2 linked regions of the Oreochromis niloticus genome follow. The protein of the gene in region 1 interacts with the protein of each later gene in a pairwise test. Links are inferred from orthologs where the notes say so. Each region holds a gene or a part of one and is shown in the gene's direction. Other genes may lie near its edges.

Region 1 (7,148 bases):
TTAGCAATCCAAGATGGTAGCACTGCATGTAAACAGTACTAACACTGTAAACTTCTCATCTGTGCTGCTACTGTTTTGTGTTTTTTGGTGCCACTCCCGAGTTACAAGGTATGGGAATGCCGTGGGGTATGACTTTTCCAGCGTGTTCCAAAAGTATGTTCTATCTCTTATTCCTAACCTTTTCCTTGACCTAAATGCAAACGTATTTGAGGTCAAGGAAAACAGCCGTGCACTGAGAATCAGAACAATGTCACACTGCTCTCCTTAACATAAACCCAGATGTTCACTGTTTTGAAACTCTTATGTGCAGAACATGAACTACAAAATCCATTTGTTTTATGGAGGTCATATAAACAAGAACATTTCAAAGGCTGGAATAGAAATTTGGGGCTGTAAACTATCTACAGCAGATGAACAGTATCTGACAGTCATGTCCTTAAGAAATAGGATAGACTCCTGCAAAGACCTGAAACAGGACCTGAGCGATGACCCTTCAGCTGATCCATCACTGAAGCCTCATCAGAAATGGTCTGGGTTAAAGGGTGGCTGTTAAAGGTATGCAACATTACACAATAACCAGACTGCAAAAATCAGTGGCAATAGGTCTGATGGACTGATCAATTTAAACAGTACCATTAAATTTTGATCTTTAAATCATCTAATTGGCAACAGCCTCATTTTTCAGCATGACAATGATCCCAAACACACTGTCAATGCAGTAAAAGCATAGTTAGATAGAAAAACACGCAGTGGTAAATGGTACATGGACTGATTCTTATATCAAAGCACTGTATACAACACACACTGGAACACCATCATGGATTGGCCTCCCTGAGGGCGCGACTCAGCAGATCTTCGTGACAAAAATAAAAAAGCAGAAATATCCAAAGAAGAAGATAAATCATTGCACTCATTTCCCCAACAAAAACAGAGAAATGGTGGTTCAAGACTTTTGCACAAGACTACTTAGAAGACTAAATGTGATATGCCGTGCAATAAGGAACCACAGAGACTATGTCGACCTCACAGTCATGTCTTTACTGAAATGGAGCATACCCAACCAACGCTGACACCGCTCTCCACAGACTGTTGCCCCCTGGTGGACCAAACCCCGCCCACCCCCTGTTACATCATAACATTCCTCCCCCGTTAAACTGAAACTACTCTGTAGTTTTAAGTACTACATAAAATACCCATAAAAAACGTAACCTTAATTAAAATGTAAAAAACTCGCAACCCTGTGGCTGGCGACTCCTGTGAGCCACTATTCTCTGTATGCGGCGTCACCACTGGTGTAACTTGCACCTCCATGTTTCTTTCATCAGTGTCCATCGTCTCAGCATGGATGATTGGTGCAGCTTTTGGGGGCTCGCCCTGGTGGCCCTCGGGTATTCCTGCTGGTAGGTAAGGCTCCAGGCGGGCAAACAGCCACCACCTTCCCATTGCCCGGCATCACCGTGCAGGAAACAGGCCCCTTCATTTCCTGTATAAGTCCTGGTATCCATTTGGGTCCTGCGGCATAGTTTCTGGTATACACTGTGTCTCCAATAACCAATGTGCCCTCCTTGGCATGTCTATCATGATGCAGTCTTTGGCTATCTTGTTTTGATGTCACTTTCTATTTCAAGTCGGGGTGTATGAGATCAAGAGTACAACTCAACTTCCGGCCCATCATCAACTCAGCGGGGGACGCTGTTGTGATTCGGTAACTAAACAAAGCCCTGTTTAACTTGGTTGCCAGTGTGTCTCCGGTACTCTTTTTCATGAGTTCTTTGAAAGTTTGCACCGCTCTTTCTGCTAACCCATTAGATGCTGGGTGATATGGAGCAGAGCTGACATGTGTGATGCTGTTCTTTGCCATGAACTCTTTAGTTTGTGCACTTACAAAACACTGGGCATTGTCCGAGACCACCGTGAGCGCTGAAACGGTTTCTCAAGCAGTCTATAGTGGCAGCTGATGCCACTGGACACACATATAACCATTTGGAGTGGGCGTCCACTATTACTAGGAACATTTTACCCAAAAATGGGCCAGCATAATCGATAATAAATAAAACTACTTCAAGAGAACCATCAAATCCACTTTTTATCAAATTAAATATTCTCAAATTTAAAGATTTGGTTGACCTCAGAACTGCGTAAACAATTTACAAAGCAGCAAATAAATCTTTGCCCCACAACATTCAGAACTTGTTCCAAATAAGACCAAATACTCCTGACCTGAGAGGAATCCTTATGTTCAGCAAGCCAGTAGTAAGGACAAATGTAAAATATCACAGCATTACAGTCAGAGGAGTTAGTGTGTGGAACACCTGTACAGGTGAGATCAAGACAAGTACATCAATACAAAAACTCACACGATTGTTCAAAAATAATAAATTGCATGAATATAGGAAATCTTCCTCTCAGTGACTGAGTCGTCTCATTGTGTCCTCATTTTTTATAGATCAAGGCCTGAGTAACCCAAGCTTAAGTGTTCATTAAGGTGTTTGTCACATAGATATAAAATAAGCTCAGCGATTAAGGGGTGTTATAGACAGGGAGATTAGTTTATGTAAAAATGTAGTTTGTCGTTGTTCTGGTTTACATGCTGAAAACGGTTTTATTTCTGTATGTTCAATGTGTTAGATTTGTACATAGTTAAACATATCTGATCAAATAATGTTGAGTCCTGGATATGGATTTGTAAGCAATGAAATTTGAAATAAGGGGGTAGGAACAAGAAAAGTGTAAACTTCATCCTACTCCTTTTCAAGCACACACATTCTGTAGACATAGGTATATACATGAAAACTTGATGATTTTTAAGTTTTGTTTTTTTCTGTTGTTATTTCAATTATATTTGCATGTTCGAAATAAAATTATATCTATCTATCTATCTATCTATCTATCTATCTATCTATCTATCTATCTATCTATCTATCTGTATTCTCAATGGCTTCTCCGGCCACTCCCAGGGGTGTAGCGGTTCCTCTTGAGGCCTGAGTCTATGTTCTTGACACGTACTGCAGTACTTCACCTTGTCTTCAATGTCAGTCTCCATATGCAGCCACCACATGTAGCTTCTGGCCAGGCCCTTCATGCGTCTCATTCCCGGGTGTGACTGTGCCAACAGGGCACAGCTACATCAGTCACACCCGCATGACCATCTGGCATGCGGTGAGCTAGCACTGCTCACACTCTGTAGGTGGACGCATCGCAAGATAGAATTAAATCTTTCTTCTCATCATAGTGTGCCAATACACTACTTGACTGCACCAGTTCCAGTTTTTGACTTGCAGAAAACTTTGGTGCCCAACACCACTGTTCCTCCTTTCTCAGAAGCTTGTGCAGTGGGCCCACCAGCGTGGACAAGTTTGGCAAGAACAGAAGTTCAACAACTCCAAATAAGCTTTGAGCTCTGTCACTGATTTTGGGGGTACCGCCTCCAGCACTGGATGTAAACTTGTCTTATCCACCCGGTGTGCTAAAAATGTCACTTCCTTTTCTGTGAACTGACATTTAAACTCAGGGCCGCCTCCTCTAATTGCCGCAGGACTTCATCCAGTCTCTGAAGATGTTCTTGGTCCTTTTTTGGACCATTTACTCCATTCACTGAGTAGTAAAGTGGAATTTTTAGATAAAAGACAACAACAACAACAATTGTTTAAAAAAAAAAAAAACAGAAAACAAACAAACGAGAAAAACAGTAAATTTAATTGGAAAATATTTTATTCACTGATGCAGATTTTTCAAAGCTAAGCCTGACTTGAATTACTGGAAGAATGACGTGAGTCTGTGACGTGAAATTACTTTCATTACTTAACAATTTTGATTTAATGTGATTGTTTTCTCTGACTCTTTTTCCTTTTTGTGTGATTTGTATTTATTTATATTTTTCATACTTGGATGTTTTTCGTTGTTACCGTGCGTGCCTTCAGTTGTTAGATGGTTACTTTTGTTTGTTTGTATACGTGTTCAATAAAGCTATTTGTTTGAAAAAAAAGTAATTAGATATTTAATATGCGCACAGAAAAAGTGAAACAAAATATTATTTGAAAACATACGCGACGTAATAAAGGGGGGTGTCTGCGACATATTTTCGCAGCTTGTTGGTGATTTTGAACACAACCCAGTTGGTTGCCACTTCACCTCTACGTCATTTCCGTCACAGAACCGTCTTCGAGGTCTTTTCAAGATGGCGTCAACGCAGTTAACGGATGAGGAGCTTTTTTTGGAATTAAAACGTTTTGGTTTCACTCCAGGGCCCGTTACTGAAAACACTCGTCCGGTGTACTTGAAGAAACTCAAGAAGCTTCGCGAAGAGCAACAGCAGCGAGGACTAAGACCTGGTAAAACCCGTACTATCGGTGCCATTAACAGTACCACTGGCGGCGGTAGCACAGTGGCATCTAGGCCAGTCAGCCATGACGTCACGCACCTGAATACAAGCAGGAGACCGGGCCGGAAGTCCTCCCTCCTCGGCTTCAGCTCCGACGAGTCTGACGCTGAAACCCCACTAAAGAGGAAAGGCCTCGGTCACAGTGGCAGAGCGAACAGAAGCTCCAGTTCTCAACAGCAGCCTAAGATTAGGCCTGCCTCAACGCCGAGTGTGGCTATCAAGAGTCGGTACGACCACAGTGCGACACCAAGCAGCAATTTTTCCCTGGGTCAGAACGGAGAGAGACGTGTCTCACTGGGCTGGGGAGTCGGTGACAGATCCAGGTCTGATGCGGGACTACGGCGTTACGACGACTCGGGGGACGAGGACAATTATGAGGAGGATATGGAAAAGAAGTCCCGCTCTTTAAATGGTCGCGGGGCGTCTCGCCTGAATGCTAGCAAATTAGCTGGAGATTACTCAGACTCGGACGAGGAGGAAGTTAGTGGGCTTGGCGTCGGCGACCCAGAATGCGACAGATTGGAGCCTCGACGAAACCACCCCAGTGTGGCGTTATCTTCCGACGTTACTGATCGAGGGTCTGCGACCGATGGGCAGAACACAGAAGCTACGCCTCGTCGTTTTCTAAACATGGGGGGGAGTCAAGGTGAGGATGAAGAGGAAGATGATTTAAAGAGAAGGGACTTTAGCCGCTTGGGAGACTCGCGGAGTCACACACTTCCAAGGAAACCCATCTACGGGTCACTTACCGAAAACCACAAAGGATATACCGGTAAAAACAGTCCGGCCACGGGGGAGGATGGAGCATCCAGAAGCAACAGCACCGAGCTGAGACCGCGCTTCTCCACCTACAGCGGTCTGTCGCAGACGTACAGGCGCAACCACTCTAATCACACCCCTGCTCCCAACCATTCCTGCGGCCACGCAGCGCTCAAGAGAAACGTGTCTGCTCCCGAAGATGAGCTTCTCCAGCAGTTCAAAAGGGAAGAGCTAGCTTCCTCAGGTAGTTTTAGCGCTCACTACCTGTCCATGTTCCTGCTCACAGCGGCGTGCCTCTTCTTTGTGCTGCTGGGGCTCATGTACCTCAGGATGAGGGGTTCAGGAGCCTTGGAGGTGGATAACGTCAGTAAGTATCTGGGCGAACTGCCTATTTGGTTTCCGTGGAGTGTTAAAGTTGTGGCAGTTTAGGGACTGTAATGCATGTAATTGTTTTATTGCCTGGTAATGTATAGAAGTGTTTATTCTTTGTGTATTTTGAGTGGATGTTCCTGATGAACAAACACCAAAGTTGGAGAGATTCCCAAATACAAACAGATCCAAAGATGAGCATTTTTAGACTGGAAGGAATCCGTACAGTCAGTCTGCCCAAGCACAGAACAAGCAGCAGTCGGAAGGAGACGGTGCTCCAAATTCACTTCCACCTATTTCTGAGGAGTTGTTTTTTTGTGCCCCTACAGATAAAAGGATTATGTGACTATCAAAAGAATCATGTTACACTTAAAATGAGGCAGAATGTGCAAAAGCTAAGAATGCACACACTAACAGTTTTATATTTAACAGAAAAAGTAATTTATCGATGTTTTTCTCAATCCATGTACTTTGGAAACTTCTTTGAGAATTGTCCTGACTGTCTGTCTCGTCTTCATTTTCAGTTAATAGCCCTCCCCCGGAGTTTGACACGCCTAATGTAAGTAAATACTTTCTTCAGGTTCTCCCTACTCTTTAAGTTAAGAGGTTTTCAAATGTACAGCACAGAAAATGTGATTACATTAACAGTGTGTACCATGTCAGTAACTTACAATGCTTCATTCTAAAGCTGATTTATTTATTTTTTTTGGTATATTTGTCACACGCTTCAGATCATCAACTAAATTGTGACATTAGATATAAGATAATCCAAGTAAATACAATATGATAAATGAGGATTTGATCTGAAAACGGGTATACAGGTCTAATGGGCCGTATGTTGAAAAGTAATTGCCTCCTTGTTTAATCATTAATTAACTACAATTTAAAGAAACATAAGAACAAAGTCTCTGACATCCATCAGTCTGAAAAGGGTTACAAAGCCAGGCTTTGGGAGCAAACTGAGGTGAAAGCCATTATCCACAACTGAAGAAAACTTGAACCAGTGATGAAACTTCCCAGGAGTGGACGGCCTACCGAGAGAAACCGAGAGTTATCAGATAGTCATCCAGAAGGTCACAAAAAAGGCTCTCAAGAACTGCTGGTCTCACTTGTCTCAGTTCAGGAAAGTGTTTATGATTCAGCAATAATTCAGTTTTATTCGTCTCGCACCAATCACAAGAGCAGTCCTCCGTATTGTAAGGTAGAAACTCTACCGTATACAGAGACAACCCCAACAACACCCTGTGACCAAGCACACAGTGGAAAGTAAAAACACCCTTTTAACAGGAAGAAACCTCTGGCAGAACCTGGGGAGGGGCAGCCACCTGCCACGACCAGGTGAGGGTGATGGGAGAAAGACAGGCTGTGGAAAAGAGCAAGCGATGATAGATAAATGATTACATACAGAGAGGTGTGTAAGCACAGTGAGCCACCAAGAAACACTCAGTGCATCATGGGAAGCCCACAGTAACCTAGGCCTATTGCACAGTAACTAAGGGAGGGTTCAGGGTCACCGGATCCATCCCTGACCAGATGCTTTACCAAAAGGGGAAGTTTGAAGTTTGAAGCCTAATCTTAAAGGTAGCGAGGACGTCTGTCCAAACTGGGAGCTGGTTCAGTGGAGGGGGCCCTGAAAGCT
Region 2 (6,992 bases), on another chromosome or scaffold:
GGAATCCAAATGTGAAGTTTTGCATGCATGAACAGAGGAGGTCAGGAGCAAGTACAACCATGAGTTTCTAAAGGCATCTATAAACCACAATGGAGGCTATGTTGTGGTTTGGGTCTGCATGTCAGCCAGTGGTGTTGGGGATCTTATCAACATTATGCAAATATGAACATATAAAAGTACTGTTAGACATTCAGCGCCATCTTAAAACTAGCTGGCTGATAATAGTGTCACTTTTCAGCATGAAAGTGATTCCAACCCCACTGTCAGTTAAGCAAAAGCATATCTCGATAGAAAAACACATAATGTCACGCTCTCAATCATGGATTGGCCTCCCCGGAGCCTGGACCTGAACATTATTGAAGCATTGTGGGATCATCCTGACAGTGAACAGAACAACAGAACAGAGCTTGTCTAAAAGAGTTCCGGGTACATTTAAAAATAAAGCTGGCCAAACCAAACTTGACATTTTTAAGTCAAGTTAAAGGGTTTTTTTCCCCCTTATATACATTGTTATACTGTATTTTCATCTATGTTTTCCATTTTCACGGTAAAATATAAAGAAATAAGCGGTTGCTCGACATTTTTGTACAGTACTGTAGATTTTAACGAGCTAAATCTCCTTATCTAAACAATCACATGCAGCACAGTCATTTCACTAGGCGGCAGACCCTTTCTCATAATGCCAACAAGTTTATTTAGGTTAATAAGTAAACCATATGCTGTATATCAGCATAACAGACTTGGAGATAAATGACAAAGAAGTACTTCAATGAAAGTTGCTCTTTGCATTTATCTGCCAGCATCCTATTCTTATTCATCCATATTTATTTTCTCCATCTAAGGTGTCTGACCTCAAAAGAGCTCACAGTAGGTAAAATTCTCCTTCTCAGAGTCAGTTAGAACAAAAGACAACCTGATTTACAAACTCTTATCACCTTTGTGCCTCTTGAACACTACCAGTGGAGACTGGCAGGTCCATTATACCACAACAAAAGGTTGGTTTGTTATCCGTGAAGTGGCCACTTCATGTCTCCAAACTGCCGTGAACAGAGATCAAAGTCTGTTTGATGTTTTCAGATGCATTTTAAACACAGCTAAACTGAAGCAAGAGCATTCACGTGGTTTTCATGAACATATATATCTCCTCCATATCTGGTGGTGGATTTAGATTCATGGTGTGTTTATCCATGCAAATACAGCAGACCTAAGGCTGAATTCACATGCATGACAATCAAGAGAACTGGGAAAGAGCTGACCTCTCTGTCGCTCTTTCCTCGTCTCCATCCGCGGTTGGTGTCCTGCTGTGTGATGGCTCCACAATAGATATCGTCTAATTTAATCCACGCTGAGTCCTTGCCACTACAGAGCCAGTGTAAGGACAGGAAACCGCTCTGATCAGAATATGCATGAGCACTGTACGTCTCACATAAAAAGAAAAAGCAAAGTGAGTTGCAGCCATTACAGTATCTACTGTCATCATTACAATGATGAGGAACCCTCTGTATAAACATTTGGGTAGTTTCCTTGCCACTGATACAATAATAAGCACATAAGCAAGGTAAATAAGCAACGGTAATTGATTTTTATTTTTATTGCTCACATAATCTCATTTCCAGCGACTGCATGAGTGAATTTGTATGACCTGAAATGTAATTTGCTTCATGTTAGCCACTGCTCCAGAAATGCAAGTATTTGCATTTTGCTGTATAAAAAAGAAGATGGCCGATACTCGTCTGTCAAATAATCAAATTTGCCAGCAAATCTTTTGAGCATCTGTAACATCTTTTTTTTTCACCGTTGCATCCAGTGGTTCCCCAATATGATTCTGGGGCATGGGGGCTGGAAAGCATTGGGGGGGGGGGGGGGGGGGGGGCATGTGGGTGTTTTTAGATCACAGGCCAGTGACAAAGAAGATTATACTCCTATCAGTGTTGAAAAGGCTTTAAAATATTCTAACTTCTGCAATGGTAAAAAAATATAAAGCAAAATATAGGCAGATGTTGCTTAACCCTGTCCTAGCTGGCAGTTTTGTAGCTCTGGAGTACTGGAGTTGTCTATAATAGAGCATAAAACCCGTAAACTGCATTTAAAAAACAATATTCCAATGTGTTCTTTACATTGTTCATTTGTTTCTTTTTGTTAAGGTCACTTGTCGAGGTGGAGATCCATTTGACCACATTAAGCTGTCTGGGAAGCTTGCAACAATGACTAATATTTTATGAGCTGAGCTGTCATGTGTAACAAAGTGGAATTGTTTCCACTTTTTGTTTCCACTCTCAGAAATATTATGAAGCAAGGTACTTAGGTTCAGGGCCTGCTTTACACCAGAGAGCAGAGCACTAGGAAGCAGCAGTGTCAAAATCTGAAAGTGTGATGTGCGAATATAAAAGTTAAATTACCTTAATTGGAATATTAGAGGTTAAACTTTGCTGTTCTAATGAGATAAAACTCGATGAGTCTGTAAAAGCTCAGTAGGCTTTTCTCCCTAATAGGACTATAAATGTATGGGGTCTAATGAATGTGCTGCTGCCCTGTGTGTGCGTGTGTGTGAGGGGAATCCTCTAGCAAAAAAAAGTTTTGGGGACCCTTCCTCCTATCCCTTCTCATTATCATCATCATGATCATCATCGCCATCCCTTCCTCCCTCCCTTACACCCCCCACCTCCACCCACCCTCCCCGCTCGCACTGTTTTCCCAGATTTATTCACGTGCGGCTCGCTCCCGCCTCGCTCAGACATTCTGTCGCCAGCGCCGTGACGTCACCTGCGCCAGAAGCCTCCTCCGCTCTGAACGTTTCCCTCCGCCTGTCTTCAAGAGAATCTAGTCCCCCTCCCTCCTCACCGCAGCGACCCTGAACTTGATTAATGAACTGGCAAATACAGAAAGAGATGTTACTACACTTTTTTAAATATAATGAAAAAAACAACAAAAAACAATAACGATCGAAGCCCGTGTTTTTTTTGCCAGTGTTAAAGTATATTTAAGTCATCATTGTGTGTTTGAGCAAATTATTACACTGATAAGCCTGTGGTCACCCTTTGGACACTTTGTGGCGTTTTTGAACTTATATCTCATTTTTTCGAGGATCTCTAATAACATCTACAAGCTCTGACTGTTTAAAAAAGACTGTTTAAAGTTTACTTATCATTCAGATAAGTTATCGCGCTTTTGTCGCTTTTGTGACTTATTCACATCTGATCAGATAATGGGTTACTTCCCCTTGGGCCTCATGGTCAATTCAGAGTCTGCGGCACATGCACAAGTATGGACAGATTGGGCTCATTGGTGTGCAAGAAACTTTCATGTCCTCTGCAGCTGCTGTCCTGCAGGAAGGCTGTGTTTTCACGTGTCATCGTGCAGTACTCACTGGGACCCAAAAAAGCGTGCATCAGTGTCTGAGGAGGTGGGGATGGTGGCATGTATGAGCATGTTCCTGTGCTGACTGTGCTCGTGGGACACTTTTGTTCTTCTGGCTGAACTGTGCTTATCATGTCACAGTCAAAGCGAGACGGGAAACCGAGAGGTAGGCTTTAAGTTCAGGAGTTCACAGATAAACCACAGAGATGTGTCACTTAAAAACAGCCTCTCGGAAATATTACTGCTTTAGATAAAAGCGAGCTTTTTCAAAATATTTCCTCATTTACTCCCGATTGATGTCTGTTGTATTGGGGGAGACAACAGAGTGGTAAAGATTAAAGACTTATTACTTAGACTTATTATTTAGAGCCTCTTTTCCCCTGTCTCCCCAAAAACCCCGACATTTCACCTATCTTAACAGACACGTTTTGCACTAAAGAAACCCCACACCTTTGCACTAAAACCGTACCGTTTCGCTATTACATAATCCACTTCCACGCTCTCGATGAAGATGTTAGATGTGCAAAAAGTAGGTCTGCCTCTTGCCGGTGGGGCCGCATCTCGCGGCGGTGTGATACTGGCGCTCGGGAGAGTGTGAGACGGCTCCGCGACTCACTGACGCCAGGCCGAGCAGACCCACAGTCAGGCGGCGAGAGCACACAGGAGGAGCCAGCGACGCCGAGAAACAGAAAGCTACAGAGGAAGAAAAGGTGCGGTAAAGTTTTTCTTTTTTCACAGAATTATAAATGAAAACTGCCTTTAACTGTTTTTATTTCGGTAGCCACAGTGTGCTCGACTCTGTTTTTTTAAGGAAGTAGATCCCAGCAGTTATCCGCACATCACTGTCAGTTGGCAGCTTCAAACTTTTTTTCCTCTTTTTGCGCACAAGTTATCAGACAGCAGTGGAAATTTAGCCGCAAAGTTGTGTCTTGTACCAATTTTTTTTTACAAAAGCGGGAAAAAAGTGGGTAACTTAGGGAATTTAGCAGCAAAGGTTTCCCAAAAATGTTGTAGAAGCGAAGCTTTTCGTCTTAAAGCTAAACTCCCTTTAATTACCCTTAAATCACCGTAAAGGGTTCACCGGGACGAGCTTTTCCGTATTTAACCATGTAATCCATTTTCAGCTGGGAATGATGATTATTGTGCTATTTATAAACTACCGCTTTTCTTCTTTTTTTTTTTTGCTTTGCTTTTTTTGGGGGGGGGTGCATGCATTATGCGGATAAATGGGTGGTCTTTCTGTGTCATATGTTGTTATCTTGCTTCATCAACTAGCTGTTTAGTCTGTAACATTAAAAAAAGTGGAAGAAATGGCCACCAGTCGCCCGAGGGTTTCATCTTGTTCTGTGTAGAAATTAGTTTACGGTGACATTGAACAGAAAAACAGCCAAGCTTCTCCTTTTGAGAAACAAGAAATTGAGGATTTAGCAAGTTTTCTTTCCCCGTGATAAATGACTGAAAATGCTTGATAAACAATTATCAAGACTGCTCATTAAGTTTCTCATGATCACCTAATTAATTAGCTAAATCTCTTGATTTGAAGCGTTACACATTTCGAAATGTATCATATTTGGATGCCACTAAACCATATATCACTCTGTAATCAGTAAACACGTATTACACCTTGCCATTTTAAGCTTTAAGAAAGTATATTGTTGTAGTGTTTATTGATGTATAAAGACTTAACGTGGCTGTTCAGCTGATGCACTTCAGAGGACATGTGTCCCCATGTGTTTACGAATTTCTGCCTGTGTGAGAGTGCATGTGAGGGAAGATTGCAGAGGGAGGCAGAGACCTACAACAACTAGAGCTAGCTCTCTTGACATTATTGAAGATGACATATCAGATTACTCAAAGGACAGGAATTTGTCCTTGTCTGTGATTGCATTCTCAGTATGTTGTGCTTTAAGTTGTATTTACGACAGCTTTTTTTCCAGCTTAAAAATGAGCATGAAGCCTCTTGACTGTGACTGTCATTATCAGAGGCTTTTATGAGCTTGATATCTGCGTCGGTGAACACAAAGCATGATATTTTCCATCCACTGTAACAGCTGCTGATAACTAGTAAACTGCAAGGTCTCCATACGTTGCAGGTTTTCCTTTATGAGAGAGACTTAAACCAAAATAAACTCTTTAGTTGACAGTTTTAGACAAGCACTGTTGTTGTAGGATAAATAGAAGAAGAAACATGACAGATTTAAGTCTTGTGTCCCTGTGTCACTGTATGGTTGGATAACATGTCTGCTATGTGTTGGAGTGAAGTGTCCACCCTAACACAACACAAACCCAACGCTGAGTTACGAGCATGTTTGACATAGCACCATGAAAACCCATGTGTTTGATAGTTATGTCTGCTGTGGTAGATTGACATGTCTGGGACGCAAAGAATCTGATCCCAGTTCAACTTCATCAGAGTCTGAACCATCCTGACACTTCTTGTGCAGGTTTCTAGTGTTTTCCATATCAGCATTGGAAGGATGCTGAGCAGTGGATGTGACTTGTAGGAGCCCGTCAGGTCAATGCCATGACTGTGATTACTTCAGGTTTTGCTCTTAGACTGTAGTGTCTAGGTCTAGCTGTTCGGCGTTAATTCTAGGGCTGCTCATTTATGACAAAAGTCATTTCTCACGATTGCCATAGTGGCTTCATTGAACTTAAAATCATGCTATTTGAATGGTGAATATCCTTGACTCTTTGAATCAGTCTTTCAGGGAGAAAATCTGGAGTTTTATGGAATGACAAAAGTATTGTAGGTGGGGCTGAAAGCCAAATTGTGAGTGCAGCACAATAACTGTCTTGTTTTAAATATAGTTAGAAGCCAAAATTGTAATTAAAATTTGATTAATTGTGCATCACTAGCTAATGCTGTTTGCAACCAACTGAAGTAGTTATTAGGGAGCCTGGAAAAGTGAACTAATATTATATTACAGCAGATATGTTACTTTATGTTAGCCAGCAAATATCAAGAAGGTGCAGAATGCAATTATGCAAAGACATGCTGCTTTTGTAAGACTGTACAACAAGGAAAACTTGACAGGTTAATTATATATATATTTTTCATGTAAAATGTCCTTCTCTGTATTTATTTATTTATTTATTTTTTGCATAAAATGGCTAAAATTGGCAGCTTTTTTTGGTTGGCCCACAGTCCAAAGATATTTAGCTTGCAATAATATGAAACTGATAAATGTAGGACATCTGGCTAAGAAACTGGAACCAGAGATCTTTTGGCTTTTTCTTTTCTTTTCGTTTTTTTAAATGGCATGATTTAAATGACAAGTACTTCTAAGTACTAAGTACATTAGTACTAATTTTTCTTAGTACTAATGTTAATTTCTCAAAAGGATGTTAAAAATGACAGCTGGTCTCCTGTTTTAAAAGCAATTTGTTGACTCATTTAAAAAAAAAAAAAAAATTATATCCTAGCCTCGTTGTTAGAAATGGTATTCGTAAAGTAGCCTGTAGTGCATCCTTGTAGTGTCATGATTCACACAGTAATGCCCCTTGAAGGCTCTTGATGTTGAAGTACTAGCTGAAGAGACCAGATATGTGAGCGTTCTCCATATCTCTTCCTCCCAAACACTCAGCCTGTCTTAGATCTCAGGCATCACCATCACTCTCACTTACTTTTTTCC

Evidence for each region. The genes of interacting proteins can lie anywhere in the genome.
Region 2: the proteins of lemd3 (region 1) and smad1 interact in binary tests that used the Homo sapiens proteins (3 or more experiments, as listed by UniProt). The link is inferred for Oreochromis niloticus from reciprocal best matches to the Homo sapiens genes LEMD3 and SMAD1.

The regions. Positions count from the first base shown.
Region 1 is NC_031981.2:544,563-551,710, forward strand, and holds the start of lemd3 (inner nuclear membrane protein Man1), read left to right. Parts: upstream 1-4,103; 5' UTR 4,104-4,177; coding exon 4,178-5,507; intron 5,508-6,033; coding exon 6,034-6,068; intron 6,069-7,148.
Region 2 is NC_031971.2:16,424,931-16,431,922, reverse strand, and holds the start of smad1 (mothers against decapentaplegic homolog 1), read left to right. Parts: upstream 1-3,897; 5' UTR 3,898-4,067; intron 4,068-6,992. UniProt on the Homo sapiens protein: Transcriptional modulator that plays a role in various cellular processes, including embryonic development, cell differentiation, and tissue homeostasis.